Anolis sagrei: one gene and its partner. The protein of the gene in region 1 interacts with the protein of each later gene in a biochemical or structural test. Links are inferred from orthologs where the notes say so. Each region holds a gene or a part of one and is shown in the gene's direction. Other genes may lie near its edges. The genes, in order: TNKS2 and LNPEP.

Region 1 (16,361 bases):
TAGGTTCTCCAATACAATTTAATTGTCCCCTTATTATTATTATTATTATTATTATTATTATCTTTATTTGTACCCCGCTAGCATCTCCCGAAGGACTCGATGCGGCTTACAAAGGCCAAGGCCTCAAAAACATAGCATAATAAATACACAACTTAAAGCAAATCAAAAACAATTATAGCAATATCAAAACAATAAAAACAAAACAATACACCAAAATACAATAAAACTGGGGCCGGACCAAATGTAATGGGTACAGATTAAAAGTGCTGATGTGATAGGTGGTGTAACGAAGCGTTAATCCCACCGCTTATCAACCAAAAATTATGTAAAGAAGCAGCGCTAATCTCACTAGATGCCACCAAAAATTATGTGAGGAAGCATTAATCTTCTTTAATGCCACCAATATTCTGTGAGGAACCTTCTTTTAAATATCCATTAAGCTGCCACCAATATGTTTAGAGACGCTGGTTTATGTCTCTGTTTATCTTTAGTTGGGTTGTGAGGTGATTTTGGTAGTGTGGAATGCACCAAGCATAACAGCAATGGAGGAGGCAGGTTTGAAATAAAAAGAGAACAAGTTTTATTGTTAACAGAACGTAATTGTTGCAGTTTTGAGAGTTTGAACTTGGCACAAGGCTTGATGTTACAAAATGGCTGGTTTGAGATACTTTCAGGCTTCTGAATGTTACAAATCTACAAACTCCTTCTTTAGTGAAGTGCTTATACTATTTCAGAGTCCCTTATTGTGAATGTCCACACTGTTTGCCCTATACTCGGAACAAACCACTGATCACCAGTCTTTCCTTACTGGCGATCCTTAAAACCCCCTCTGTTAGATTCTTTAACCTAAGCAATCTAACAAGGTAACACCTTCAGCTCTCTTGCTGAAGAAATATTCACAAATTCTAAGAACTGCTGAATTCTCACAGCTTCACAACAGAGCCCTAACTGGCTCTCCTCTTCCCCGGGTCTCTTCCACCGGACTGGAGCTTAACTGCCACTTTCAAACCTTTTCCTCCTTAAGCTCCGCCCACCTCCTCTGAGGCTTTGTCTTGTCACCATGGCAACCTATCCCTCACAGCTAGGCCATGGCAATAAATGTAATACATAAATACAGATTCAACACAGTACATTAAACACTCTATAATAAACATTATAAATACAGTTTAAACACATTATAAATAACACTTTATAATGAACACATCTCTACAGGTGGTATGTCGGATTTTAGGGGTAAGTGCAGCAGATGTTGACCATAGAGCTAGTAGGAACTAGAGATTCCTACAGAGATCACCATTTAAGGAATCTCCAGTGTGGTTCTACGGTCAACTTTGACTCATGATCGAGGATCTAGACCAGTGTTTCTCAACCTGGGGGTCGGGACCCCTGAGGGGATCATGAGGGGGTGTCAAAAGGGTCACCAAAGAACATCAGAAAACACAGTATTTTCTGTTGGCCATGTGGATTCTGCGTAGGAAGTTTGACCCAATTGTATTGTTAGTCGAGTTCAGAATGCTCTTTGATTGTAGGTGAACTATAAATCCCTGCAACTACAACTCTCAAATGTCAAGGTCTATTTTTCCCAGACTCCACCAGTGTTCACGTTTGGGCATATTGAGTATTTGTGCCAAGTTTGGTCCAGATCCATCATTGCGTGAATCCACAGTGCTCCTCTGGATATAGGTGAACTGCAACTCCCAATCTCAAGGTCAATGCCCTTCCAGCGTTTTCTGTTGGTCGTGGGAGCTCTGTGTGTCAAGTTTGGTTCAAATTCATTGCTGGTGGAGTTCAGAATGCTCTTTGATTATAAGTGAACTATAAATCCCAGCAACTACAGCTCCCAAATTACAAACTCAATCCTCGCCCAACCCCACTATCATCCACATTTGGGTGTATATGGTATTTGTGCTCAATTTGGTCCAGTGAATGAAAGTACATCCTGCATATTGGATATTTACAACTTATAACAGTAGTAAAATGACAGATATCAAGTAGCAATGAAAACAGTATTATTGTTTGGGGTCACCATAACATGAGTAACTGTATTAAGGGGTCACGGCATTAGGAAGGTTGAGAATCACTGATCTAGACATTTCTAAACCTGTTATCCCAAGTTTTTCATTTTTGTGGGTGCCCTGTGCAAATTTGAAGGGCCAGCTATATAATGTGGAGCCCCCGGTGGTGCAGTGGGTTAAAGCACTGAGCTGCTGAGCTTGTTGATCGAAAGGTCGCAGGTTCGATTCCGGGGAGCGGCGTGAGCTTCCGCTGTCAGCCCTAGCTTCTGCCAACCTAGCAGTTCGAAAACATGCAAATGTGAGTAGATCAATAGGTACCGCTCCGGCGGGAAGGTAACGGTGCTCCATGCAGTCATGCCGGCCATATGACCTTGGAGGTGTCTACGGACAACGCTGGCTCTTTGGCTTAGAAATGGAGATGAGCACCACACCCCAGAGTCAGACATGACTGGACTTAATGTCAGGGGACTACCTTTACCTTTTTAGCTATATAATGATGTTTATATATAATAATGTGCATCATGAAGCATTGAATATTTCAGCATGTGACAACCCTCAATGTAAGGAAACTCAGCGGTAATGAATTATCCCACAAGGGCTTTTTGCCATCCACAGTTTGAGCTCCCCAAACCCACTATTCAATAATTTGAAACAGTCCAGAATTCTTTCCTTACATTTTTGCTTCTATTGTTGAGATATTGCTTTGTCTCTAGTGATGCATACAAAGTACTTTGGTTTGACAAAAAGTCAGTTCTTTACGACAACACGATATTTAATCTGTCACTCTTCTTTTGTTGTTCTCAGAGTGGCTTGCAGCATAAGGATAAAACCAATACAATATAATCATGGCAATACAAACAAGACTACACATTCTTTTGTAAGCTGTTCTGCAACCAGTCCTAGGAACAACACCAATATTGAGACTAAAAAGAGTTACAAATCAAAACGAGCAGTAGAAGAAATAAAAATATTGCGTACTGGAAACTCATTACAGCTGAATTGTCTTCAGTTTCCAATAAACAAACAAACAAAAAAGATCGAGCAAGAGAGTCTTGACTTTAATGGCTCTCTTTGAATAATAAGCTTGCAGACAAATGTTGAACTGCTCTTCTTTTTTGTTTTTTTGAGATTTGTACTTTTTCTCCCCATGTTATTTCTGACTCTGTTTACTGATTTTTTTTTAAAGTAATGATCAGGGACACATCTACTTTGTTAACTGAGGTATATCTGTATTGATGTAATCGTGGTAAAACTCAGGTGTGAAGGACTCCCCATCCGTTCCCAGACAGGGCTGTGTGGAAGGGTCCTCAGATAACCCAGTTCAAAGCAGATATTGTGGGATTTTCTACCTTGTTATTCTAGGATATAGAGCTGTGTAGAAGGGCCCTGAGTTCACGCTACCATATATTTCAGTTCAAAGCAGATAATGTGGGATTTTATTCAGCTGTGTGGAAGGTGCCAGAGGGCCCTTCCACACAGCCCTTTGTTGCATGATATCAAGGCAGAAAATCCCACATTATCTGAATGTGGACTCAGGACCCATCCAGACAGGGCCTTTATTGTAGGAACTCTCGCAATAAAGGAGGAGCTGTCCAGACAAAGATCTGGACAGACCCGTATTAATTCGCTACAAACCAGGAAAACCCTGGTTTGTAGCAAAATAAATTGTTAGTGGATTTATTCCGCGCCTTCTTGGAAAGTGTGGGATGTTGTTGTTCATTCGTTCCGTCGTCTCCGACTCTTCGTGACCTCATGGACCAGCCCACGCCAGAGCTCCCTGTTGGCCGTCACCACCCCCAGCTCCTTCAAGGTCAGTCCAGTCACTTCAAGGATGCCATCCATCCATCTTGCCCTTGGTCGGCCCCTCTTCCTTTTTCCTTCCACTTTTCCCAGCATAATTGTCTTCTCTAGGCTTTCCTGTCTCCTCATGATGTGGCCAAAGTACTTCAACTTTGTCTCTAGTATCCTTCCCTCCAGTGACCAGTCGGGCTTTATTTCCTGGAGGATGGACTGGTTGGATCTTCTCGCAGTCCGAGGCACTCTCAGAACTTTCCTCCAACACCACAGCTCAAAAGCATCGATCTTTCTTCGCTCAGCCTTCTCTAAGGTCCAGCTCTCACATCCGTAGGTTACTACAGGGAATACCATGGCTTTGACTAGGCGGATCTTTGTTGCCAGTCTAATGTCTCTACTCTTTACTATTTTATCGAGATTGGACATTGCTCTCCTCCCAAGAAGTAAGAGTCTTCTGATTTCCTGGCCACAGTCTGCATCTGCAGTAATCTTTGCGTGTGGAATAAAGCCACTATTTCTGGGTCTGGACTGCAGAATATTTATTTATTTCTTTAGAACTTTTATATCCCGTTCTTCTCTACCTCTGTGGAGGGACTCAGAATGGCTAACAGCAAAATTCAATGCTATACAATAAATGTCATAAAACTAAATAAGTTCTAAAATACATATAAAAGACAATTCATCAAGTTAAAAACATCATCCAATTCAATCCAAACATTGTGGTCAAATAACTCTTAGTCTATACTGGATCATCTATCTATCTGCGAATACCTGATTCCAAAGCCAGGATTTTAGCTGCTTCCTGAAAGACAGGAGGGAGGGGGCAGAACTAACTTCATTGGGGAGGAAGTTCCATAGCCGGGGGCCAGCACAGAGAAGTCCCTGTCTCTCGTCCCCACCAAACACGATTGTGAAGGTGGTGGGACCGAGAGCAGGGCCTCTCCGGAAGATCTTAAAGTCCTTGATGGTTTATAGGAAAAGATACGTTTGGACAGGTAAACGAGGCCAGAACCATGTAGAGTTTTGTAGGTTAAAACCAGCACTTTGAATTGTGCTCGGAAACTGATTGGCAGCCAGTGGAACTGGTGTAACAAAGGAGTTGTGCACTCCCTGGACCTCACTCCTGTGAGCAGCCTGACTGCCAAGCGTTGGACTAATTGCCAAGCGTTGGACTACCGGGCTGTCTTCAGAGGCAACCCCATGTAGAGTGTGTTGCAGTAGTCCCACTGTTTAGCAGGCTAAATAAGCCCAGTAAACTGTGACTTCTAGCTCCTTTGGGTTTGTTTTATATCATTTCAGAGGTTTAATGAGATAACACATGCTCAGTATAATTCATTTATAGACGCAGTCAGTCTACTCCCCCAAGGTGATGTAACCTCAGAGTTAGATCTTAACTCCGACAGCTTTCCATCAGATTAAATTAACCAGCTGATTGCATCATTGTTCTCTATGGGGCACATGATTTGAATTAATTATCAGTCAGTTCTTGTTTATATTATGATATCTTGTTTCTAATTGTATTGGTGTTCTTTCCTGGAATTCAGCTGTCTCCAGGCCCTGTTCTATACTATATGGTACAATCAAATGTTGTGGAACACCCATTTCTTTAAGAGGGGTTCATCGTTTTTCATGAACTATACATGTGCTTACTTCCATATCTTCCATATTCAACTGTATAGGATATAACTGCTATGCATGCATATTAGCCCAGAAAAATGAAAGTTTGGTGAGACTAGTGGCATACAATCAGGCTGCATGAATCTGTCTTCATGGCAATGTATTACATAATAGTGGTGCTGTTTGCTAAACACTCTGGAAACTGTCAGAACTCTATAAGAAAAAAAAATAAGTGGTCATAATGATCATTTAGTATTGTGCTTAGCCATCTCATCAGTGTGAATGGACTTATCATTATGTTTTTATCTAAATTGTTGCCCAGTGGGAATCATGGATTTGACAAAAGAAACTCCATGACTAGGGTTGATTGCCTGAGACCTCTGAATGATGTGTGGGTGTTTGGACAAATTAGCAACCTAGAAATTGCAGAAAAGGAAGAATTTCTAGCTGTAGGTGGAACACCACCTGGGGAGTCTATCATAGGTTACTCTTGGCAGGGCACTGCTGCTGGATTTGTAATGCACTAGTTGTATAATTACAAATTACATTCTCCATTGCTTGACCATCCAAAAGGAAACTAAAATGTTCACCTTTTCTTCTCGCTTTGTAGTGTGAAAAACAAAACATGGTCATTTAGAGAAAGTGGGAGGGACAGCAACTCTGCTTGACTTATGAATAAGAAATTATAGCATTGGAAGAGATGCCAAATGTCAGAATAATCCTTACCGAGTAAGGACACAAAGAAAAAACCATCCTGACCAATGGCCACCCACATTCTTTAAAAAAATTCCAATGAAAAAGTACCCAATTCCATCTTGGACATTGTATTCTGCTGCTGCCCAGCTCTTGCCATCACGATATTCTTCCTTAACCTTAGGCTGAACCTCTTTTCTTGCAGCCTGAATCAACTGGTTCATGTCCTGGGTCACAGCTACACTGACAATTTAGGTCAGTGCGAAACTGGTAAAGAAGAAAGGTATTTCACTGTGCAGATGATTACATGTGAAGTCCTGGGACCAGTTAAAGGCCTGGATGGCATTTATATATACTGCAGAGGCTGACCTCCAATTGGTTCAAGGAACCAAGCATCTGCAACTTGGGTTGCTGTGAGTTTTCCAGGCTGTATGGCCATGTTCCAGAAGCATTCTCTCCTGACGTTTTGCCCACATCTATCGCAAGCATCCTCAGAGGTTATGAGGTCTGTTGGAAACCAGACAAGTGGAATGTCTGGGGTGGCAGAAAGAACTCTTGTCTGCTTGAGGCAAGTATGAATGTTGCAATTGGCCACCTTGTTTAGTATTAAATAGCCTTTCAGCTTCTAAGCCTGCCTGCTTCCTGCCTTTGTTGGGAGGTGTTAGCTGGCTCTGATTGTTTCCTATCTGGAATTATCTATACAGATCTGCTGCTTCTTGGCCATGGGGCTGGGGGCTGGGTTTTATTCCCACATACACTCGCTGCAAGGCATATATGTGGATCACCACAGACTCCATTCGTTAATCGGTTTCACCATGTGATGTGTTTTACTTTCAGGCACACTGATGTGTATTGTGTGTTCTATTGCAAACCACCCCAACTTTGCTTATCCCAGTTTAAAGCCCAAAATGCGCCTTGCTGCAAGTGCTGACGTCGTGCATCATCTAAACACCATGATGTCAAGTTACCTTCTGACTGCATTAAGTGGTGATAAGGATGTGTCAATTGTCTCTGTAATAGGAAAAATAACAAGCTTGCTCCATCTTCTACATGATATCTCTTCAGGTATTTTAAAATGTCATTTCTCAGTCTTCTTATACAATCCCTATGTGATTTAAATTGACATTTTCAAAAATGGAGGATTAACCATTATACATTTCTTTGAACTTGAAACCTTCTCTGCACCAGTTAATCATAATTCAAGAACTGTGGCCCTATCTCATACGTCCAGTGGTGGATGATGAAAGTTGCAACTCAATCATATGTGGAGAGATACACATGCCCCCACCGGAAGCTAAATCAATCTGGCAATGAAATGCTCTCCAATCTTCTACTCCATCCTAAGGTAGTTACTATATAGAGGTATACTGGCGTCCGCAACAAGCCAGCTAACACAACCAACCCAAGACTGGACATTTTGCTTCGCTCAGTTAAACACATTTTGTTTTTTCTAAACTCTACCATTTACAGATATTTGGTATGTTCACAATATGACTTGGTATGTTCACAATATTTTGTTTGAATGTTGTCTATATGCCAAGGTGAGATCCCAATGTTTATAATCACTCTTGGTTAGAACAACCAACTGGGATCCAATTACTAAGCTGTCCTATTTTCTTTCTGGGGAGAACCTACACTTAGGGCCCTTCCACACAGCCCTATATCCCAGAATATCAAGGCAGAAAATCCTACATCATCTGAGTATGGACTCTTATAATCTAGTTCAAATCCGATATTGTGGTATTTTCTGATTTGCTATTCTGGGATTGTGAAAGAGCCCTTAGGCCCATTCTACACTGCCATATAATTCAGATTATTAAATCAGATAATCCACATTATTTGCTTTGAACTGGATTATAAGAGTCTACACTGCCATATCAATTTCATAATCCAGTTCAAAGAATATAATCTGGATTTATATGGGAGTGTAGAAAGGGGCCTTTATCGCACAAAGAGCCCTTCCATACAGCCCTATATCCCAGAATATCAAGGCAGAAAATCCCACAATATCTGCTTTGAACTGGGTTATCAGAGATCACACTCAGATAATGTGGGATTTTCTGCCTTGATATTCTGGGATATAGGGCTGTGTGGAAGGGCCCAAAATGGGGTGCCTTCTCTTGGTGATCAACGTATCTAAATTCTGATTCTTTTACACTTGTCTCTCTACTCTCCCTGCTTTCATGTTTTAATTTAATCCCATTTTACCAAATGTATTGTTTAATCAAGTTTTATTGCATTTTTATTTATTTTAGTTAACTATCACAGAAGTTTTAGGATAGTTATTAGTGTCTATTTGTCTGTGTATTTTTTTGTCTCTTATTGTCAGTGGAGTAATCAATACACAGATCTATAGATCATGTCAATCAAATTGGAATATCTTTTCTATTGTCAATATGGTCAGTGGACGGATCAATAAAGAGATCTCTCATATCGTGTCAATTAAATTGGAATATCTTGTCTTCTATTGTTGATATGGTCAGTGGACTCAGCAATAAAGAGATCTACCATATCGTTTCAACTGACCACCCCGATTAGCATTTGATAGCCTGGCAGTGCCTGGAGCAATCCCCTGCTGAGAGGTGATTAGATGTCCCTGATTGACGTCAGGAGAGAATGCTTCTAGAACATGGCCATATAGCCGGAAAAAACCTACAACAACCCAGACCATAACATATCCATTAAATTGGAATATCTTGTCTTCTATTGTCAACAGGGTTAGTGGGTTGATCAATACACATCTGTCATGCCAATTACATTGGACTATCTCTATGAATGGCACGACCTGAGAGGAGATATGACAGCCATGTATAAATATGTCAGAGGAAGCCACAGGGAGGAGGGAGCAAGCTCATTTTCTGCTTCCCTGGAGACTAGGAGGCGAAACAATGGCTTCAAACTACAAGAAAGGAGATGCCATCTGAACATGAGGAAGAACTTCTTGACTGTGAGAGCCGTTCAGCAGTGGAACTCTCTGCCCCGGAGTGTGGTGGAGGCTCCTTCTTTGGAAGCTTTTAAACAGAGGCTGGATGGCCATCTGTCAGGGGTGATTTGAATGCAATATTCCTGCTTCTTGGCAGGGGGTTGGACTGGACGGCCCATGAGGTCTCTTGCAACTCTTTGATTCTATGACCTCCTTCCTCAAATACCTGACCCACTCTGGAAAGGAGTCTCTTGCGCATGCGCTGTGCTCGCTTTAACTGTGTTTTCCCCGCACTTCTCCCTTCTCTCGCTTCACCTTCCCCCATGCGCGCGCACCCTGGATGCTCCGCTTCCCCTCCCACCGGGGAGAGCACGCGCATGCGCCGTGCTCTCCCTAACCCTGTTCCCTGCGAGTCCTCTCTCCCTCCTCCCCCCTCTTCCCTGTGCGCGCGCACCCTGGCTGTTCCGCTTCCCCTCCCACCGGGGCCGCTGAGGCGGAGGCTTCTTTTCTTCGCGCCCCCCTCAGAGGCCGCTTCTTTCTATGGCGGGCCTCCGGGTGTGAGTGGGAGCCTCGGGAGGAGGAGGCGGAAAAGGCATGGCTGGGCGGAGGGGCGCGGGCGGGGCGGAGTCGCTGCTCCCCTCCTCGGCGTCCTGCTTCGGCGGCGTCTCTTCTTCCTCCTCCTCCTCCCTCCTCTCGGAGCCTGCCCGCGAGCTCTTCGAGGCCTGCCGCAACGGCGACGTGGAGCGCGTGAAGCGGCTCGTGAGGCCCGAGAACGTCAACGGCAGGGACACGGCCGGCAGGAAGTCCAGCCCCCTCCACTTCGCTGCAGGTAAGCTACCTCTTCGAGGGAAGGCCGCACCGGAAGGAGGGAGGGAAAGATGGAAGGAGGGGGACCTTCTCTTTAGAGGCCTCAGGAAATTGGGCTTCAGGTGAATCCTGGACAGGTATGAGCAAACTCTGGCCCTCCAGGTGTTTTGGACTTCAACTCCCACAATTCCTAACAGCCTCAGGCCCTTTCCTTTTCGGCTGAGGGGGGAAAGGAAAGGGCCTGAGGCTGTTAGGAATTGTGGGAGTTGAAGTCCAAAACACCTGGAGGGCCAGAGTTCACCCAATATTAAATATTTATTACACCGCAATATTAATATTTATTAATTTATTTTAAGATATTTCTACCCCGCTTTTCTCCACGGCATGACCCACAGCGGTTGACAGCATAGAAAACACACAATATCAACAATAAAGCATAAAGTAACAATAATTTCAAACTTTCTTTATTTCCTGTCCCATCTGGGGCTCTGGGCGACTTACAGCAAAAACAAACAAACACACAGTAAATTTATTTATTGTGTCATCAGCAACCATACCATTGTATTACATTTCTAACAGAACGAAACAAACAAACAGATGTTTTAAAAAAAACACAGATTTTGCAAACTTTGTAGTTGATTAAATGTCCTTTGACCAGTATCTGGCCACTTGGAGTGCCTCTGATGTTGCTGCAAGGAGGTCCTCCATGGTGCATGTGGCAGGGCTCAGGGTGCATTGTAGCAGGTGGTCAGTGGTTTGTTCTTCTCCACACTCGCATGTCGTGGATTCCACTTTGTAGCCCCATTTCTTAAGATTGGCTCTGCATCTCGTGGTGCCAGAGCGCAGTCTGTTCAGTGCCTTCCAAGTCACCCAGTCTTCTGTGTGCCCAGGGGGGAGTCTCTCATCTGGTATCACCCATGGATTGAGGTGCTGGGTTTGGGCCTGCCACTTTTGGACTCTCGCTTGCTGAGGTGTTCCAGCAAGTGTCTCTGTAGATCTAAGAAAACTATGTCTTGATTTAAGTCGTTGACGTGCTGGCTGATACCCAAACAAGGGGTGAGCTGGAGATGTCGCTGCCTTGGTCCTTTCACTATTGGCTGCTACTTCCCGGCAGATGTCAGGTGGTGCAATACCAGCTAAGCAGTGTAATTTCTCCATTGGTGTGGGGCGCAGACACCCTGTGATAATGCGACATGTCTCATTAAGAGCCACATCTACTGTTCCACACTGGGCAAGCGTACTCAGCAGCAGAGTAGCATAGCGCAAGGGCAGATGTCTTCACTGTGTCTGGTTGTGATACCCAAGTTGTGCCAATCAGCTTTCGTATAATGTTGTTTCTAGCGCCCACTTTTTGCTTGATGTTCAGGCAGTGCTTCTTGTAGGTCAGAGCACGGTCCAAAGTGACTCCCAGGTATTTGGGTGTTCTGCAATGCTCCAGTGGGATTCCTTCCCAGGTAATCCCCAGAGCTCGGGATGCTTGTCTGTTCTTAAGGTGAAAGGCACATGTCTGTGTTTTAGATGGATTAGGGTAAATTATATAACACAAACAAAATCACATATCAAGTTTACCCATGCTTGCTTCACACCGCAATATTAATATTTATTAATTTATTTTAAGATATTTCTGCCCCGTCTTTCTCCACGGCATGACCCACAGCGGTTGACAGCATATAAAACACACAATATCAACAATAAAACATAAAGTAACAATAATATCAAACTTTCTTTATATCCTGTCCCATCTCCCCGAAGGGGCTCTGGGCAACTTACAGCAAAAACAAACAAACACAGTAAATGATATAACACATATCATATATCAACAATAAAACATAAAGTAACAATAATATCAAACTTTCTTTATATCCTGTCCCATAATAATAATAATAATAATAATAATAATAATCTTTATTTATACTCCGCCACCATCTCCCCAAGGGACTCGGAATGGCTTACATGAGGCCAAGCCCAACAGTACATCAATAACAAGAGCAATAAAACAATAAATACCATACAATTAATATATCACATATAAACAATAACCAATAAATAGTAACACACAAGGATTTAAAAACCTATGGCCGGGCCAAATGTAATGGTTTTAAAAATTAAAAAATAAACGCTGGGAACGAACAAGGTAGGATATAACTCGTATAGGGTTTTCAAAGAGAGATGAGGGAACACAGTCAATCCCAAACCAGTAGTAAAGTGCATTCTGAGGGCATATTGCTGAGAATTTTTCTTATTCTGGGAAGGCACACTGGAAAAGCCATGTTTTCAGACTCCTCCTAAAGACTGCCAGAGTTGGGGCATGCCTGATGTGCTTGGGAAGTGAGTTCCAGAGTCGGGGGGGGGGGGGCACTACCCAGAAGGCCCTCTCTCTCGTCCCCACCAATCGCGCCTGTCCCATCTCCCCGAAGGTGCTCTGGGCGACTTACAGCAAAAACAAACAAACACAGTAAATGATATAACACAGACAAAAATCACGTATCAATATTGTGCAATAATGTCCCCAAGCTAGTATGTATATTTATTTATTTACTACATTTATATACTGCCCCTCTCAGCCCACAGGCAACTCAGGGTGGTTTACAGTCAGTATCAAAGACATAAGATACAATTTAAAACGGTTCGTTTAAGTTTAAAACCAAGTAAAACAATATCAATAAAAACATATCAAGTTGAGTCTCTTACTTAAAAGCGTTATCTAATAGCATTGTCGAGTCGTTCCGTTTTTTTTCTCTCCATGTCTGTTATATTGTGTCTGCAAACGCTTGCTCAAACAGCCAAGTCTTCAACTTCTTTCGAAATGTTAAAAGGGAAGGGAGGGCATTCCATAGCCAAGGGGCCACCACTGAGAAGGCCCTGTCTCTCATCCCTGCCAGACATACTTGTGACAATCTTAAAGCCCTAGCGGGTTCATAAGGGGAGATGCGTTCGGACAGGTAAGTTGGGCCAGTACTGTTTAGGGCTTTATAGGCTAAAGCCAGCACTTTGAATTGTGCCTGATAGCACACTGGCAGCCAGTGGAGCTGGCTCAGCAGGGAAGTTGTGTGTTCCCTGTGGACTGCTCCTGTTAGCAATCTGGCTGCCGTCCGTTGGACCATTTGAAACTTCCGGACAGTCTTCGAAGGCAACCCCATGTAGTGTGTGTTGCTGTAGTCTATACGGAATGTAACCAGAGGGTGGACTACCATGGCCAAGTCAGACTTCCCAAGGTACGGGCGCAGCTGGCGCACAAGTATATAGATCAACATCATTTTAAACCAGCCAATTCCTATGATCAGGGTATCCAGCATTATATATTATACATAGCCATTTAAAGTCCTGTCCGATAAAGAGGTTGATACTTTTAGCCCTTATCAAAAGCCTGCTTAAATAGCCATGTTTTCAACTCCATCCTGAATGTTAAGAGGTTGGGTGCTTGTCTAATTTCCCTGGGGAGGGCATTTCAGAGTCGCGGAGGGGGGTGATTACCTCTTCCTCATCCCTACCAACCTTGCTTGTGAGGAAGGTGGAATCGAGAGGAGGACCTCCCCAGTTGATCTTAGAGCCTGAACTGCTTTATAAGGAGTAATGCAATCACGTAAATAGGCAGGGTCTGAACCATATAGCCAAGATCTAAAAACTTGGCTCTTCCGATGTGCCTTTGGAGACTGACCATTCAACCCATTTTATTTGTTTCCATCTACAGTTCTCATGATGCACTTCCCCCCTTTATAAAGGTCAAGCCCCACTACTCCCCCTTCTTGGGCTCCTCCTGCACAAATACACTTTTTCTATTCCTATCTCACCCAGGGTTTAAACATTTTATCACGTGCATTTGGCCCGCTCTTTATATTTGATTTGTATTATATTATTTTGCACTGTTTATTCTATTTTGTTACTTTATGTATTTTGTTGCAATGTAATTTTTCTGTTGTTTTGTGTCTAACTTTGCTGTATTGTTTTTGGGATTGACCTCATGTTAGCATCCCCGAGTCCACTTTGGGGAGATGGTGGCGGAGTATAAATAAAGTTGTGGTTGTTGTTGTTGTTGTCATATAGGGCTCAATCTGCACTTTGAATTGGGCCCGGAAGCAGATTGGCAACCAACATAGCTACTTTAAGAGAGGGGTAATATGTTTCCTGCAATCTTTGCACTAATTGAAGCTTCTTGACCATCTTCAAATGCAAAAGTTAAAACATACTAAAAAACACACATACAACTTCCACCTCCCCCATATCAGCCCCTCAATTAATAGTCATACATTTTTAAACTCAACCCATTCCAATGGCACGTGTCTTATTCAAAGGCCTTGAAAAGCAAGGTCTTTACCCCCTTCCTGAAGCTTAGGAGGGATGGGGCTGATCTTAGTTCCTCCAAGAGGGAGTTCCACAGTACTGGAGCTGCCCCAGAGAATAAGCCTTCTATCATTTTCTGTAAACACATTTTTGAATGGGGCCGAGTAGCAATTAGGGTCTTCTTGCTGGACCTCAACTCTTGACCAGGAGCATAAAGGAACACACGATGTTCCTGGTAGGCTGGACCAAAGCCATATAAGACTTTATAGGTGAGAACCAGCACCTTGAATTGGGCCTGGAAACGGATGGGCAGCCAGTGAAGCTGTCTCAGGAGCAGGGTAGTGTACTTCCTGATACCAGCTCCCCATTACCAGCCTGACTGCAGGTCTTTGTATGAACTGTAGTTTCCAAACACTTTTCAAAGGCAGACCTATGTAAAGCGCGTTGCAATAGTCCAGTCTGGGTGTAACCATTACGCATACTACTGTGGCTAGGTCATCTTCCTCCAGGAATGGGCACATTTGGTACACAAGCTTTAATTATGCAAAGGCCAACCTAGACACCACTGCCACCTGGGCCTCTAGGTTTAAGGCGGAGTCCAGGAGGACCCTCAAACTGCGCACCTGAGATTTCAGGTGAAGTGTAACCCCATCCAGCTCAGGTTGTAATCCAGTTCCTGGATCCATCTTCCTTGAGACCAGCAGTGCCTTGGTCTTGTCTGGATTGAATTTCAGCTTGTTCACCCTCATCCAGTCCATCACTGTCCTCAGATAACAGTTCAGGGGAAGGTCTGCTTCCATGGAATCAGGTGGAAAGGAGTAGTAGAGTTGGGCATCATCTGCATGCAGCTTGACCCCACTTGAACAGTCTTGGGTCAATGCTAAGGAATCCTGTGAGCTATTATTATTATTATGTTTATTTATATCCTTTTTCTCTCCATACGGAGACGCAAAGCAGCTCACAACTAAAAGCATTGCAATGCAACTTTAACATATACAAGTATTAAAACACTTTTGAACATCATTAAAAGCATATAAAATTACAGCAGTCCGTGACATGATCTTTAAAACCTTATTTAATAGCCTGCCTAAATTAAAAGGCTTTAACCTGCCTCCAGAAGGACATCACTATTTCTGAGGATGCTTGCCATAGATGCAGCCAAAACGTCAGGAGAAAATGCCTCTAGAACATGGCCATAAAGCCCGGAAAAACCTACAACAACCCAGTATTTGTATAAATTTTTGCCCATGGAAGATATACATGTAATTACTTGTTTCTTCTGTCGAGTATAAAATTAATGAAGAATTGCATCCCTAGCATGTAACAGCAACAAATGCTATCTAATATAGAATTTAAAGTGTGTAAACTCCTCTGAATTTGGTCAGAACAGTTTCTAAGAACTAGTTATGCTGTGCAGCAAATCACTATTAGATCACTGTAGATACTGTCTGTTAAAGGTATACAGCATATTGTCAATTCACATATTTTAAATCAAGTTCTGCTAGGTTAAGTAACTTGATTTAAGAGAGAGATAGTTGGTGAGAGAGTTGGAAATAATTTGAAAGAGAGGTGGTTTATTTTTATTTATTTACAGCATTTATATCCCACCCTTCTCACCCTGAAGGGGACTCAAGGCAGCTCACAACAAAGGCATTATTCAACACCTTGAATACATATAAAAATTAAATAACATATACTTTAAAATCACATAATTAAAACTTATCAACTTAAAACAAAAACTGTTACCACACAAAAACTGTTAACCTGCACTTTGAATTGGGCCCAGAAGCAGATTGGCAACCAATGGAGCTGCTTTAAGAGGAGGTAGTATATTTTCCTGCAATCCATCCCAGTCAGCAGTATGGCTGCGGATCTTTGCACTTACTGAAGCTTCCCGACCATCTTCAAATGCAAAAGTTAAAACATGCAAAAGTCATGGAATTGCATAGCTTTTAAAAATTCTGTTTTTATGTTATTTTATCAAGTTGCAGTACTTAAAATATGCTTGCTGAATCTTCCATGACTTACTATCTGCTCTAATATGGCCAATCCAAGCTTTGTTGACGGAATCCGAAGATTCCTCACTCCAGCATATTCCAAACTGAACCTTGACTCATGAAAGTTCCAGCATTGTAGATTATTTCCTTCTTTTAAATAGTGAGGATGGTTTTTATGGCATGAGATAGGACAGGCTTGAAGTTAACATTTGTTTATATTCTTGAGTGGTAGAC
Region 2 (15,715 bases), on another chromosome or scaffold:
TGCATGCTATTCTACTTGTTCATATGTAGCTTTTCTTTCGCAAAAGCTGTTCTCAGACCCACTTCATCAAGGTTAAGAACTCAGTAAAGCCCAACTCATGATGGGACAGCAAAGAAGGTAGTATTTACCCCATAATTGCCGCCCCCGTGTAGATGTGGACATTTTTCTGTTCCTGCAGTAAAAGGTTTGAATCCTACCTAAAATATTATATCTCTGCTTGTTTGTTTTGTAGAGCAAACAAGGGAAACTGTGAAATGGCTTATCTATTGCATTCACTGTTGCCTTAGTGAACCCAATTTCTTTTTTTTCTTTTCCTTTTTGTCCTTGGCAGTGTTTGCTTTTTAACTTCTCTTATCACACAGAGTTGTGACTATGTCTCTTTTTTTACCGTTACCATTCATAGAATGTATCTGTATCCATGACTGGTGACTTGAAAGTATTGAAAACTACAATTAAAAATAGCAGCAGGGGTATAGAATGGGTTCTAAACGCCATACTTTCTTTCTTTTTTTTTTTTTTACTGATTGTTCACATTTCTAGATTTAATAAAATAAGAGTAGTTTACTGAAACAGACAATGTCTTAATAAAAAGAAATAACAGTTATTTTAAAAACCCAGTAGGCCCCTTCAAACTTGGCTAAAAGATGGCATGCTGTTAACAAACAACTTACCATTAAGTACACATTTATCTAATATGTTGCCAAATCTTTAATGCCTCCATAAAATTGCAATAAAACCAAAGCAACAGAAAGGGAAAAATATATTATCTTGCCCGTGATTTCTGCAATGTCCAGTGTGGATCAAGACATGACTTAGAGCTGTTATTCCCATCTATGAAGAAGGGTATGACAGCCACCTGTCTTGTCAGGAGAGTATTATATATCTATGATGCCACCACTGAGAAGGTCAATTCCCCAGGATCTGGCAACGCTATTTCCAACAAGATGGAACTAGAAATCAGATCAGAAACACTGAAGCTAATTATATTAAAATTCTGCAAGTTCACATAGGCACATATGTTATTATGTATTATGGTAATATTTTTTCTTTTGATGTTGAAACATCTTTCAAAGTCTTTCATGATCTTTCCAAAGCCACTCATTCTCGTCTCTTGTGGAAGTGATGATTAGATTATTAATCCTCAACTCACACACAAGGCCTATCTTTAACTGATAAGCTACTTTAATGAGATTCATGTGTAATTATTTACAAAGTGCACCAATCTTTCTCTTCTTTTCATCTCTCCTTGCTCTCTTTTCTGTGTTTTTCCTTTTTCCTCAGATGACTTGCACCCATTTGTGTAGAAAAGGTGGAGTATAAATAAAATTGTTATTATGGGGGTGGTTGCAGTTGTTGCTGGTTTTTAAAAAGAAAAATAGAAAAGCAGTGCTGCTAATGATATGACTTAATTTTGACTGGAGAGAAAAAAAAAACAGCTGCAGTGTGGCCTCACCCACCAATTTCTTACTTGTGGATAAGGGAAGTAAGGATTAATATTATTAACTGACTAACGAAACTACAATGGCACCCACTTTACTTTCAATCACCCAAATGGTTTGGAGTAGACAATCTGTTTTAGTGTAATAATGAGAGTGCAGTGGATAATGAAAGTGCAGTGGATCCAACACATCTGGAGGCTGCCAGTTTGAAAGATCCTACTTAGATCATGTATTTTAAATTAATTGTGTGAAATACCTGTCAGTCTTCCAGAGCCCCTGAGGCAACATGTGACAGATGTAGGGAAAACATTTTTAACTTTAAAGAAACACATAAAAACATTCCAAATAAAACAACTTCTTAAAATAGTTTTTAAACCACAGACTGTTAAAGCAGTCCAACAGTCTCTTATGATTTGAAGGAAATGCAGAGTAATAAGTTTCAGCTACCTTCTCGAAACTCAAAAGGGAACTGAGCACCCAGCATGACTTCCTTTGAGTAGGAGCTGTGAACCCAAGATGCTGCTACAGAGGAAGTCCTGTCCTGCCATCAACAGGGCTCCTGTCAAAAATCTCAGATTTTGGATAGGTTCTTTTGGGAGGAGATAGTTTCTTGACCCCAGGCCATTGATAGCTTTCCGTATTAGAACCAGAACTCAGCTTGGAACTAACTGGAAGCCAATGTCATTCACTTAAGACTAATGATATGTGGTCTGTAGATAAGATGAAATGCCTCTGGTTCTATCAAGTGCCATCTAAATGCATTGTCCATTTTCAGGCTTAAAATACATGTGTAGATGGACTGTTGTGGACTATTAGCCAAAATGCTGCGAAATTTTAACAGTACAGATAGTCCCTGAGCTACAAACATACGGCGTACAAATGACTCATTGTTAAGAATGAAGGTGGGACAACAGGAAGTGTGAGAAATCTACTGCTCGGAAGGGAAATTCACTCCTGAAAGAGTTAAAAGGTATATCCACTGAAGCTTGGTCACCAATCCTTATTTCCACAAAAAAGCCAAATGTTTCAAAATCCAATTATCACAGGGACACAAAGTGAGGAGAAATCTGAACAGGGGCACAGACAGCAAAACACACCACGGGGTGTTAGCCCTTCCTTATGCTATCCAAAACTAAAACATATATATTTTTGGCTGGAATCACACTTTAAAAAGTACCTGTTCTGACTTACATACAAATTCAGCTTAAGAACAAACCTACAGAACCTATCTTGTTTGTAACTTGAGGACTGCCTGTATACCCTAATTAGGTTCATGGACCACAACTGTGACCAGAAATTACATGCCAGTGGAAGAAAATCCAGCCTGCAGAGCAGTGTATTACACATGTCAATACAGAATACTTCCTATCTGTCTGTCTATTGTATCAGGAGCGAACCAAACAGTTGTATTTTTTTTTTTTAGAAAAAAACTCCCCAAAGTTTGAAAACTTGGCATTCTATTAAATGTCCTTTTACCATTAGCTGGCCACTTGGAATGCCTCTGGTGTTGCTATAAGAAGGTCCTCCATTGTGCATGTGACAAGTGGCCTGTGGTTTGCTCTTCTCCACACTCGCATATCGTGGACTCCACTTTGTAGCCCCATTTCTTAATATTGGCTCTGCATCTCGTGGTGCCAGAATGCAGTCTGTTCAGCACCTTCCAAGTCGCTTAGTTTTCTGTGTGCCCAGGAGGGAGTCTCTCATTTGGTATCAGCCATTGATTGAGGTTCTGGGTTTTAGCCTGCCACTTTTGTACTCTTGCTTGCTGAGATATTCCAGCAAGTGTCTTTGTAGATCTTAGAAAACTTTTTCTTGATTCAAGTAGTTGGTGTGCTGGCTGATATCCGAACAAGGGATGGGCTGGAGATGTCATTGCCTTGGTCATTTCACTATTGGTTGCTACTTCCCAGTGGATGTCAGGTGGTGCAATACTGGCTAAACTGAAATTTCTCCAGTGATTTAGGGTGCAGACACCCCATGATAATGCATGATGTCTCATTAAGAGCCACATCCACTGTTTTAGCATGGTGAGATGTGTTCCACACTGGGCATGTATACTCAGCAACAGAGTAGCAAAGCTGAAGGGTAGATGTCTTCACTGTATCTGGTATCCCCAGGTTGTGCCAGTCAACTTTCGTAAGATATTGTTTCTAGCGCCCACTTTTTGCTTGATATTCAGACAGTGCTTCTTGTAGGTCAGAGAATGGTCCAGGATAACTCCCAGGTATTTGGGTGTGCTGCAATGCTCCGGTGGGATTCCTTCCCAGGTAATCCTCAGAGCTCAAGGTGCTTGTCTGTTCTTGAGAAGAAAAGCACCCAGAAGCGACCAGAAATTATGTGTGAAACTTGAGCTTAAAGAGAAATAAGCATGAGTCAGCAAGCTGCTCTTCCTAAAAGCAAGTCTACGACTTTGGTTTTGTACTTCAATCAAAATTTCTAAAGTTTAACATTCCTTTTCTAAATCTAATTAAAAAATATTTCTAGAATTGAATGTAATTTCCTCATAATAGTATTATGTTTTCATTTAGAGAAACAAGAGACTGGAAATATCATGGGATAAAATACCTGAAATTTAGTGTTTTTCCTTTCATTTAGAAATCAAAGTCTTCCAACAAACAAAAGACTTTCATTTCTAAAGAGCTGGCCTGTTTAATAAGTCAGAAAGTTTTTGCAGATTTACGTACTTTTATTTGTTTTCGGAATACAAATAAGATGCAAATAACTTTGTGCAGTTTAGGAGGTTTCAAAAAATAGAACGTGGATACCTCAAAGGATGGCAAAAAGGGGAAATGAGTGGTTTTATTTGCTAATTACAAATTCTTTTATTACAGCTTATTTCTTGCTTATGAATGCAACAAAGCAACAAAAATGCAGTAATATATGTTTATATAAAATCGTGCTTATGTATTTCAAATACTGGATCACAAGGAAGAGCTGCATGGGTTCTCATAGTTTGCAACAGGCTGACTTGAATAGATAGGTAACTGGTAAATATATTTGCAAATAGGAAACTGGTGTGGTGTCATAGTTTGAGCATTGATTGGACTTTGATTCTGGAGAACATGGTCAAATCCCTGCTTGGACATGGAAACTTACTATGTATCTCTGGGCAAATCACACTCTCTCAGCCTCAGAGGAAGGCAAAGGCAAATCCTCTCTGAGCAAATGTCGCCAAGAAAACCCTGTGACAGGTTCACCTTAGGGTCACTATAAGTTGGAAATGACTTGATAGCACACAACGACGACTTGAATACAGGCTATCCTCTCTCTATCCCTCTTCCCCGAGTTACAAACCCCGACTTACAAATGACTCATAGTTAAGAATGGAGGTGAGACAACAGGAAGTGAGAGAAATCTTCCCCTCAGAAGGGAAATTCGCTCTTGAAAGAGTTATGATGGGGAAAAGGTGTCTCCGCTGAGGCTTTCTCAGCAATCCTTGTTTCCACAACAAGCCAAATTTTGTACCTATTCTGACTTACTTACAAGTTCAACTGAAGATCTTTAAAGAGAGACATGGGGGAAAGGTGTCTGAAGCTTTCTCACCAATTCTTGTTTGCACAACAAGCCAAATTTTGTACCTATTTCGACTTACATAAAAATTCAACTGAAGAACTTTAAAGAGTTATTTAAAGTTTAAATGGGATATAAATAATAATATTTTAAAAAATTGGCAACATGCCAATATTTATATATATTGGATATATCTGGAGATATATATCTATATATATATATATATATATAGATATATCCCGATTTTCCTAGAAAACTGTATAGTAAAAGGAAATGTAATTTTTTAACTGGATTAAAGCCCAAAGAGTCTCATTTCAAGCAAAATATCAAGAATGTCATGCACCTGGATTTCAGCGCCTACAAGGCTTTCTTTTGGTCTGTTTAGACATGCTCTAAGAGTTACTGTTGGGGAACCTGAGCTGTTAGGCTCAAAAATAACCCTCAGTTAGGGTAATTCAACCAAAATATAGCAGAATAACAAGAGTGAACTCCATAACTAGCAAAACTTATGTGTGGTGAGCAGGAACAGCCTTTTAATCTTTAGGATGGCTGAGGGTTGCAGAGGCAATCTTGAGGTTCAAAAGATTTATTAAAGTAAAAAATACATTGTTGATAGAAAAGTTTTGGAGCTAACTATCTCGCTAAATTGATGTATTGGTGTTTTGATGCTGATGTTAATGATGTTAATGACTTGTGATGCTTTTGTTTTTTTAAATGCATAATGATTTTGTATCCTGTATATCTAAACTGTTGTAAACCGCTCTGAGTCGCCTAAGGGCTGAGAAGAGCGGTATACAAATAAAGTAAATAAATAAATAATATAAATAAATAAATAAATAAATCTCATCTTCTAAAGAAGGTAAAGAGGGAGAAAACATGGCGGCATAACAGACTTTGTATTTCTAGGTGCAAAAATTAATGCAGATACAGACTGCAGCTAGGAAGTCGGAAGACGTTTACTTTTTGGGAGGAGAGCAATGACCAATCTTGATAAAATTGTGAAGAGTAAAGACATCACACTGGCAATGAAGATCCGCATAGTTAAAGCAATGGTATTCTCCATAGTCACCTATGGATGTGAGAGCTGGACCATAGGGAAGGCTGAGCAAAGGAAGATAGATGCTTTTGAACTGTGGTGTTGGAGGAAAGTCCTGAGAGTGCCTTGGACTGCGAGAAGATCCAACCAGTCCATACTTCAGGAAATAAAGCCTGACTGCTCATTGGGGGGAAGGATATTAGAGGCAACGATGAAATACTTTGGCCATATAATGAGAAGACAGGAAAGCTTGGTGAAGAGAATGATGCTGGGGAAAATAGAAGGAAAAAGGAAGAGGGGTCGACCAAGGGCAAGATGGATGGATGGTATCCTTGAAGTGACTGGATTGACCTTGAAGGAGCTGGGGGTGGTGATGGCCGACAGGGAGCTCTGGTGTGGGCTGGTCCATGAGGTCACGAAGAGTCGGAAGTGACGGAATGAATAAACAACAACAAAGAAGGTTAAAAAAAGTCCATGTAGCTACATTTTGCCTACAAAGAGGCAAAATGCGTCCTCACAGGGAGAAAGAAAAGCAGCAGTAACATAGTGGACACCACATGGCCTTCCTGGGGCAATTTAAACTTGAAAGGAAGTTCCCTCACAGAATTCCATTAGTATGTCATCAAAAGGGGGCGGAGACTGGCTAGCAGTAGAGATAAAGACAAAACCCTTTAGGAAACATGCGTAGGAATGTGGGAAAAGGAATCCCTGCGCTTAGCCCTGTCTCTAGTCTAGCTACTCATTGAGGACTGGAAACTTGATGACACAAAGGCTTGTGTAGTCCAGGGATGAAATCCAACAAGTTGCACATTGCTGGGGTTTTGAGGACACCTTTTGAGTTTTAAGAAAATGTCATGGCCCTGAGGCTGTTAGGAATTGTGGGAGTTGAAGTCCAAAACACCTGGAGGGAGGGCCTAAGTTTGCCTGGGCCTGCTCTACGTCGTAGAATTAGTGCCTCGCTGCGGGCGGAGACATGCAGCAGGAGGAGGGGAAAGGCGAGTGAGGAGGAGCCGGCTTGCTCCCCTCCCTCCCGGTCCCTGCGTGTGTTTTCGTGAGCCTCTTCCTCCCCGTTCGGGCTTCCGCGGCCCTCCGCAGCAACATGGAGCGCTTCCCCAGCGGCGGTGAGTAGGGCGGCCTCCCGCCTCGGGCCTAGCGCGCCCTCCCAGTCGCCGGGCGGGTTGTTCCCCCCTCGCAACCAGGCTCGTTGCGCCTGCCAGGCCTTACTGTGGTTGGTGTTATCTTTAGCAGCACAGGCCGCCTTCAGGAGAGGCCCTCGCCTTGCCCAGGCTGCGAAACTTGAGGCAGCCTCAAGGCCGCGCATGGCTCTGGGCAGCCCGAAGGTCAGGAGGGGAGGGGGCCTCTCTCTCCCTTTCTCCCATCTCTCCTTCCCTTCTTCGTTCGCCCTCTCGCCTCGTTTTCAGTCTCTCTCTACTGCCTCTTTTTCTCTCACTGTCTCTCTTCCCCCTCTCAATCTCTTTCTCCCCCTTTCTGCCTTCCTCCTCTCCCTTCCTTCCCCCTCTTGTCACTTTCTCTCCCCCTCTTATCTCATTGTCCTTCATTCTCTTTCTCCCTCCTCTCTTATCTTTCTTTTCCTTCCTCCATCTCTCATTCTCTTCCTTCTTCTCTCATGCTCCTTCTTTCTTCCCCCTTTCTCTCTCATTCTGCCTTTCCCCCTCTATCTCTCCTTCTCCTCTCTCTATCCCTCTTCTTATATCTCTCATTCTCTCATACTCCCTCTCTTTCTTACTCTCTTATTCAGTGTTCCCCTCTCCTTCTCTGTATCCCTCTTCTTATATCTCTCACTCTCTCTTTCTCCTCTCATACTCCCCCTCTCTTTCCCTCCTCTCATATATCTCATACTCCCTCTCTTTCTTCCTCCTCCCTTCTCTCTCATTCTTTCTTTTCCCCCCTCTATTTCCCAAACTCCTCTTTCTATCTTTCTACTTCCTCTCATATATATATGAGAGATGGAGGAAGGAAGATAATGAGAGATAAGAGAGGAGGAAGAAAGAGAGGGAGTATGAGATATGCGAGAGGAGGGAAAAGAGAGAGGGAGTATGAGAGAAGGAAGAGAGAAAGGGAGATATAAGAAGAGGGATACAGAGAGGAGAAGGAGAGGAGGAACACTGAATAAGAGAGTAAGGGGTAAGAAAGAGAGGGAGTATGGGAGAATGAGAGATATAAGAAGAGGGATAGAGGAGAAGGAGAAATAGAGGGGGAAAGACAGAATGAGAGGGAAAGAGGGAAGAAAGAAGAAGCATGAGAGAAGGAGGAAGGATGAGCATGAGAGATGGAGGAAGGAAAGAGAAGGAGAGGGGGGGGGACACACACTGAATAAGATAGTAAGGGGGAAGAAAGAGAGAGAGTATGAGACCTCTCATTCTCCCTCCTCTCTCATATATCTCATACTCCCTTTTTTCCTCTCCCTTTCACTCTTTCCCCTTTATCTCTCTCCTTTCTCTTTCCCCCTTCTCTTACATCTTTCTCTCTTCCTCCTACTCTCATTCTCCCTCTTCTCTCATATATCTCATGCTTTCTTCCTCCCCCTTCTCTTTCCCTCTCTACTTCTCGTTTTCTTCTTTCTTCCTCCTCTCTCATATATCTCATACTCCCTACCTGAGCTAGCGGGGGTAGTCTCGGACCTGGCATTGGAGTCCCAGCGGCTGCTTGTGCTGGGGGACTTCAATGTCCATGCTGAGGCTGCCCTAACGGGAGCGGCTCAGGACTTCATGTCTACCATGGCGACCATGGGTCTGTCCCAACAAGTATCTGGCCCCACCCACAGTGCTGGACATACATTGGACTTGGTTTTCTGTCAGGGATGGGAGGAAGGAGGCGGTGTTGAGGAGTTATCCATCTCTCCGTTGCCATGGACCGACCACTTCCTGGTCAGCTTTAGACTTACTGCGCCCCTTAACCTCCGCAGAGGTGGAGGACCTATTAAATTGGTCCGCCCCAGGAGGCTTATGGATCCGGAAGGATTCCTGATGGCTCTTGGGGATTTTCCCGCCACCGCGGTTGGTGATCCTGTTGATGCCCTGGTCGCTCTCTGGAATGGGGAGATGACCAGGGCAATAGACACGATCGCTCCAGAACGTCCCCTCTCAAGTAGCCGATCTAAACCGGCCCCTTGGTTTACTGAGGAGCTGGCGGTGTTGAAGCGAAAGAAGAGGGAACTAGAGAGCGTGTGGCGTTCGGATCCGAGCGAGTCAAACCGAACACGGTTTGTGGCCTTTTTAAGGTCATATGCCGCGGCAATAAGAGCCGCTAAGAAAACTTTCTTCGCGGCCACTATTGCGTCTGCAAAGAACCGTCCGGCTGAACTGTTCCGAGTTGTCAGAGGCCTTTTAAAACCCACCATTCAGGATGGGTGCCCTGATGACTCGGCTGCTCGCTGTGAAGCTTTTGCTCGGTTCTTTGCAGACAAAGTCGCTTTGATCCGCTCTGGACTGGACGCCGCATTAACGGCAGTCTCTGAGGATGTAACACGAGCATCTGCTTGTCCGATTTTGATGGATTCATTTCAATTGGTTCAAACCGAGGATGTGGACAAGGTGCTTGGAGGGATGAGAGCCACCACATGCATCCTAGACCCCTGCCCATCCTGGCTTCTAAAGGAGGCCAGAGGGGGATTGGCCGAGTGGGTTAAGGTGGTGGTTAATGCCTCCCTTCGGGAAGGCATTTTTCCAGCCAGCTTAAAGCAAGCTGTGATAAAACCGCTGTTGAAGAAGCCATCACTGGACCCCACTCAATTGGTAAACTATCGGCCTGTTTCCAATCTTCCCTTTTTGGGCAAAGTCATGGAACGTGTGGTGGCCTCACAACTCCAGGCATTCTTGGTAGACACGGATTATCTAGATCCGGCACAGTCTGGCTTTAGGCCGGGACATGGTACCGAGACAGCCTTGGTCGCCTTAGTGGATGATCTCCGTCGGGAGCTCGACAGGGGGAGTGTGTCCCTGTTGGTGCTACTCGACCTCTCAGCGGCCTTCGATACCGTCGACCACGGTATCCTTCTGGGACGCCTCGCGGGAATGGGTCTCGGAGGTACTGTTTTGCAGTGGCTCCGGTCATTCCTCGAGGGTCGGTCTCAGAAGGTGTCACTGGGGGACTCCTGCTCTACCCCACAACCTTTGTCTTGTGGGGTTCCTCAGGGTTCAATACTGTCCCCCATGTTGTTTAACATCTACATGAAGCCGCTGGGTGAGATCATCCGGAGTTTCGGAGTGCGGTGTCATCTGTACGCAGATGATGTCCAACTCTGTCACTCCTTCCCACCTGCTACTAAGGAGGCTGTCGAAGTCCTGAACCGGTGCTTGGCCGCTGTGACGGTCTGGATGGGGGCGAACAAATTGAAATTGAATCCAGACAAGACAGAGGTGCTCCTGGTCAGTCGCAAGGCCGAACAGGGTATAGGGTTACAGCCTGTGTTAGACGGGGTCGCACTCCCCCTGAAGACACAGGTTCGCAGTTTGGGTGTGATCCTGGACTCATCGCTGAGCCTGGAGCCCCAGGTTTCGGCGGTGACCAGGGGAGCATTCGCACAGTTAAAACTCGTGCGCCAACTGCGACCGTACCTTGGGAAGTCTGACTTGGCCACGGTAGTCCACGCTCTGGTTACATCCCGTCTTGATTACTGCAACGCTCTCTACGTGGGGTTGCCTTTGAAGACGGCCCGGAAGCTCCAACTAGTCCAACGGGCGGCAGCCATGGTATTAACAGGGGCTGGACGCAGGGAGCACACAACTCCTCTGCTGTACCAGCTTCACTGGCTACCGATTAGCTACCGAGCCCAATTCAAAGTGCTGGTTTTGACCTTTAAAGCCCTAAACGGTTCTGGCCCTACATACCTATCCGAACGTATCTCGGCCTATCAGCCCACCAGGACCCTTAGATCTTCAGGAGAAGCCCTTCTCTCTATCCCACCTGCTTCACAGGTGCGGCTCGTGGGAACGAGAGATAGGGCCTTTTCTGTGGTGGCCCCCCGGCTTTGGAATGCCCTCCCTACTGAATTAAGATCAGCCACCTCGCTAATGGCATTTAGGAAAAAACTAAAAACCTGGATGTTTGAGCAAGTCTTCAATTGACCTTCGATGTGATGTTTTATCTGACCATGGATTAGCAATCAAGATAACGAATTGGATGATGATTTTAACTATGAGATGTCCCGATCTGTATTGGTGGCCCAATACTGTGTATGTTTTTTGTATGTATTTTTATTTTAATTTTATATGCTTAAATGAATTGTATATTTTAACATGTTGTAAACCGCAATGAGTCGCCGCACAGGCTGAGATATTAGCGGTATACAAGCATACCAAATAAATAAATAAATAAATAATAAATAAATAAATAAATAAATACTCCCTCTCTTTCTTCCTCCCCCTTTCTCATTCCCCCTCTGTCTCTCCAACTCCTTCTCTTTCTCTCTTCCTCTTATCTCATTCTCCGTCTTTCTCCCTCCTCTCTCATATATCTCATACACCCTTTCTTTCTCTCTCTTTTTCTCCTACACTCTCCCCATCACTCCTCCTCTCATCTCTTCCCCCCTGCTCTCATACTCCCTGTCTTTCTCCCTCCTCTCTCATATATCTCACACTCCCTTTCTCCCCCTTTTTCTTTCTCTCGTACTCTCTTTCCCCCCTCTATCTCTCATTCTCCTCTCTTATATCTCATTCTCCCCCCCCCCTTTTCTTATACTTCCTCCCTCTTTCTCTCACCCCCCCCCCCCCAATTGCCCTTCCCTCCTTCTTGGGGTAAAACCCACCCTCCGTGGTTTTGCACAAGGCACGATGGAGGGAAAGTTTGGCGTGTGGCGGAAGCCGGCCTCTTTCTGTTTCGCCTGAGATGCTGCTAAGGCTTCTGCTTCTGCTTGGGTTGGAGGGGAGGGGAAAGGCCCCAGAGGGTGCTTTTTCGGAAGGGAAGGTTGTATCTTGAAGGCCAGGTCTTTCAGGAGAGTTGGAGAGGGCCAAGGGAAGAGCCCAGGAGCCCCCTGAGAATGGAACAAGGAGGGCTGTATGTCCTGTCAACACAGCAGCCATGCCTCTGACCCCAAAGTGACACAAACTCTTCCAGCACCTTCAGTTTGTTTGTTTCTGTAATTTTGTTTACTGTTCATAATAGTACAGGTTGGATAACTCATATCTGAATGCTTGGGGTCAGATTTCCTAGGATTTTATTTTCTATTTTTAGAATACAATATCTGTATTTGTGCATGAAGCCAGGTTTGTGCACCTATGTGGTTGCATGCACAAAATATTTTAAAATACTGTGTATAAACTTCCAGGCTATTTGTGTAAAGCAGGCATGGGCAAACCTTGGCTCTCCAGGTGTTTTGGACTTCAACTCCCACAATTCCTAACAGCTGGTAGGCTGTTAGGAATTGTGGGAGTTGAAGTCCAAAACACCTGGAGGGCCAAAGTTGGCATGGGTGAACTTTAGCCCTTCAAGTGTTTTGGACTTCAACTCCCACAATTCCTATGCTGATAGAAATGGTGGGAGTTGAAGTCTAAAACACCTGGATAGTCAAAGTTTGCCCATGCCTGGTGTAAAGTGTATATGAATCATACATTGATCTTGTGCTGAGACTTGTGTGCATTTTACACTGTAGAATTCATGCACATTGACACCACCGTAGCTACTATAGCTCCGTGCTATGGCATCATGGGAGTTGTAGTTTGACAAGGACTTTAGCCTCCACTGCCAAAGAGTGTTGATTCCTCACCAAACTCTCTCTCCCATGAGTCCACAACATTGAGACATGACAAGTGGTGTCAAACTGCATTCATTCTGCAGTTGGATTTAAATTTGATTAAATTTCTAGATCCAGAAATTCCTAGAGAAATGTACTCAAAGGTTAAAACCCTGCTATTTTTTTTACTTGAGAGAATACCTCTCTAGGAATGTCCTGATTTTTCAGCATGAATAGAAAATCTAGAAATATAACCAAATCTATGAATGATTACATCCACAAAAGTTAAACTTACAAATGTGGAGGGGTGGACTATATTGCGTGAAGAATACCTTCATTTCTAGCTGTCATTTATCTAACCCAAATTTTAACCTTTTTAGAGCTGGAAGCCAAGGGGGTGTCATTAAACTAATAGATAGGAAGGAGCCCCCAGTGGTGCAGTGGGTTAAACTGCTGAGTTGCTGAACGTACTGACCAAAAAGTCAGCGGTTCAAAATCTAGGAAGCGGGTGAGCTCCTGTTGTTAGTCCCAGCTTCTGCCAAGTTCAAAAACATGCAAATGTGAGTAGACCGATAGGTACTGCCTCGGTGGGAAGGTAATGGTGCTCCATGCAGTCACACCGGCCGCGTGACCTCGGAGACGTCAATGGACAACGTCGGCTCTTCAGCTTAGAAATGGAGATGAGCACCATCCCCCAGAGTCAGACACGACTAGACTTAATGTCAAGGGAAACCTTTACCTTTTAATAGATAGGAAACATAATTGCCAGCTGATGTAAGATTATTCTGATTTAGTATAAGCTCCCTCCCCCCAATTCTAGCCCAGTCTCTGTCAACTGATACCCTCCCAAAACTGTAAGTCTTACTATCTTTGATTGTAGGCCATGCTGGTGCACATACAGATAGAAAGAGTAGTCCAAAGTAGAGGGAGGGTTCAGGGAGTCATAAAAATGTGGTCAGGTGGTATCTAACTCTTGAGAAGTGTTACTTTGCATTTTAGAAATGGATGGAAGGTTAAAATGGGAAATACATTAAACATTATTTGCAATATTTTCTTGCATTTTAATTCTTTCATAAGAAATGATAGTATTATAAAGACCAGTTTGACTTTGAAATTTGGACGTCACTACATATCTCTATCTGTAGATCTGTTTAAAAAAGCCAGAACCCAGAAGGGACCAAAACTTTGGCTTTCTTGGTTTCTTGGTTGCTTGGAGAAGTTGGTTGTATTTTGTCAAGGAATTGAGGAAAGGACTTAAAAGTTACTAACCTTGAGACAGGTGTGCACCACAGGAATGAGATATCTCATTCATAGGGATGCTAGAAGTGGAAGATAACTTGGCAACAAATAGCTACTACATTCAGGGGGGTATGTTTGTTGTTTCCTTGTGGCTTTTTATTATGTGACAGATGTCACTTAGTTTCAATGTATACACATCGATTAAAACTCTGCCGAGAAGCAAAAATTGATAGGTCTGCAGGACACTTGCCAAGCTTTACAGTACTTCTTTCAAGATATAGATTGAGGGCGGCACTCACAGCTAACTAGATGGGTAAATTATTTTTCCCTCGTTCTATTTTTTAACAAAATTTCACTTATAGACAAGCTCAGGAGGGTGTCTATATTTCCTTTCTCCTACCTAATGTATGCTCACAATGACCCTGTGAGATGGATTCAGTTGAAAGATGACTGGCCAAGTGTCACTCATATTAATGGCCAAGTAGAAATCAAGTAGACACACATATACAGATCAATCTCCCCAGCTCTCCTCCAGCATTCAAACGATGATTCTACACTGGCTCTTAGTTTACCTGTTTCGGTCTGAATTCCTTTTGCTACTCCCATCCTCCATTTGTTAGATTACTTTTGAACTTAACTATGGGAGGCACAGACAGTATACACTTAAATAGTTGGAGAATATAGATGGGAATGCAGCATATGATGTGCAAAGCATTGTTGCCTTGTTGCGGTGCTGGAGCTTGAGCACCCCAATGACGCCATAGGCGAAACCATGAAGGGACACCCAAGACAGGAAGTTCATGGCAGAGAGGTCTGACTAAAACGATCCCTGGATGCCATAAAAATTGATGGAACCTTAGATATGCAGATGATACCACTTTGATGGCTGAAAGTGAGGAGGAGCTGAGGAGCCTTCTAACCAAAGTGAAAGAAGAAAGTGGAAAAGCTGGATTACAGTTAAACATTTTAAAAAAACCAAGATTATGGCAACCAGACTGATGGATAACTGGCAAATAGAGGGAGAAAGTTTGGAGGCAGTGACAAACTTCATATTTCCAGGCACAAAGATTACTGCAGATACAGACTGCAGCCAGGAAATCAGAAGATGTTTGCTTCCTGGGAGGAGAGCAGTGACCAATCTTGATAAAATAGTTAAGAATAGAGACATCACACTGACAATGAAGATCCTCATAGTTAAAGCAATGGTATTTCCCGTATGGATACGAGAGCTGGACTATAAGGAAGGCTGAGTGAAGGAAGATAGAGGCTTTTGAACTGTTGTGTTGGAGGAAAATTCTGAGAGTGCCTTGGACCGCAAGAAGATCAAACCAGTCCATCTCCAGGCAGTAAAGCCCAACTGCTCACTGGAGGGAAGGATATTAGAGGCAAAGATGAAGTAGTTTGGCCACATAATGAGAAAGCAGGAAAGCTTGGAGAAAATAATGATGCTGAGGAAAATGGAAGGAAAATTGAAGAGGGGCTGACCAAGGGCAAGATGGATGGATGTCGTCCTTGAAGTGACTGGCTTGATCTTGAAGGAGCTGGTGGTGTGGAAGGCTTCTGGGAACTCTGACGTGGGTGGTCCATGAGGTCACGAAGAATTGGAAGCGACTGAACGAATAAACAACAACAGTATATGATACTTTTATAAGAGAGAGAGAGAGAATCTATTGGTGTGTAGTTACCGGTGTAACAAAACTCCTTTATTACTGTGATTTGTAGTGTTGACTTGCCTGTGCCTGAAATGTTGCCTGAGGTAACCTGCCGAGCCATGTCTGGCTTTTGGCAGAAATGCACTAC

Evidence for each region.
Region 2: the proteins of TNKS2 (region 1) and LNPEP form a complex in vitro, tested with the Homo sapiens proteins (4 studies listed by BioGRID and IntAct, with this or other methods). The link is inferred for Anolis sagrei from reciprocal best matches to the Homo sapiens genes TNKS2 and LNPEP.

The regions. Positions count from the first base shown.
Region 1 is NC_090023.1:185,262,032-185,278,392, forward strand, and holds the start of TNKS2 (poly [ADP-ribose] polymerase tankyrase-2), read left to right. Parts: upstream 1-9,434; 5' UTR 9,435-9,636; coding exon 9,637-9,871; intron 9,872-16,361. UniProt on the Homo sapiens protein: Poly-ADP-ribosyltransferase involved in various processes such as Wnt signaling pathway, telomere length and vesicle trafficking.
Region 2 is NC_090022.1:252,780,786-252,796,500, reverse strand, and holds the start of LNPEP (leucyl-cystinyl aminopeptidase), read left to right. Parts: upstream 1-6,949; 5' UTR 6,950-7,084; coding exon 7,085-7,106; intron 7,107-15,715. UniProt on the Homo sapiens protein: Release of an N-terminal amino acid, cleaves before cysteine, leucine as well as other amino acids. Degrades peptide hormones such as oxytocin, vasopressin and angiotensin III, and plays a role in maintaining homeostasis during pregnancy.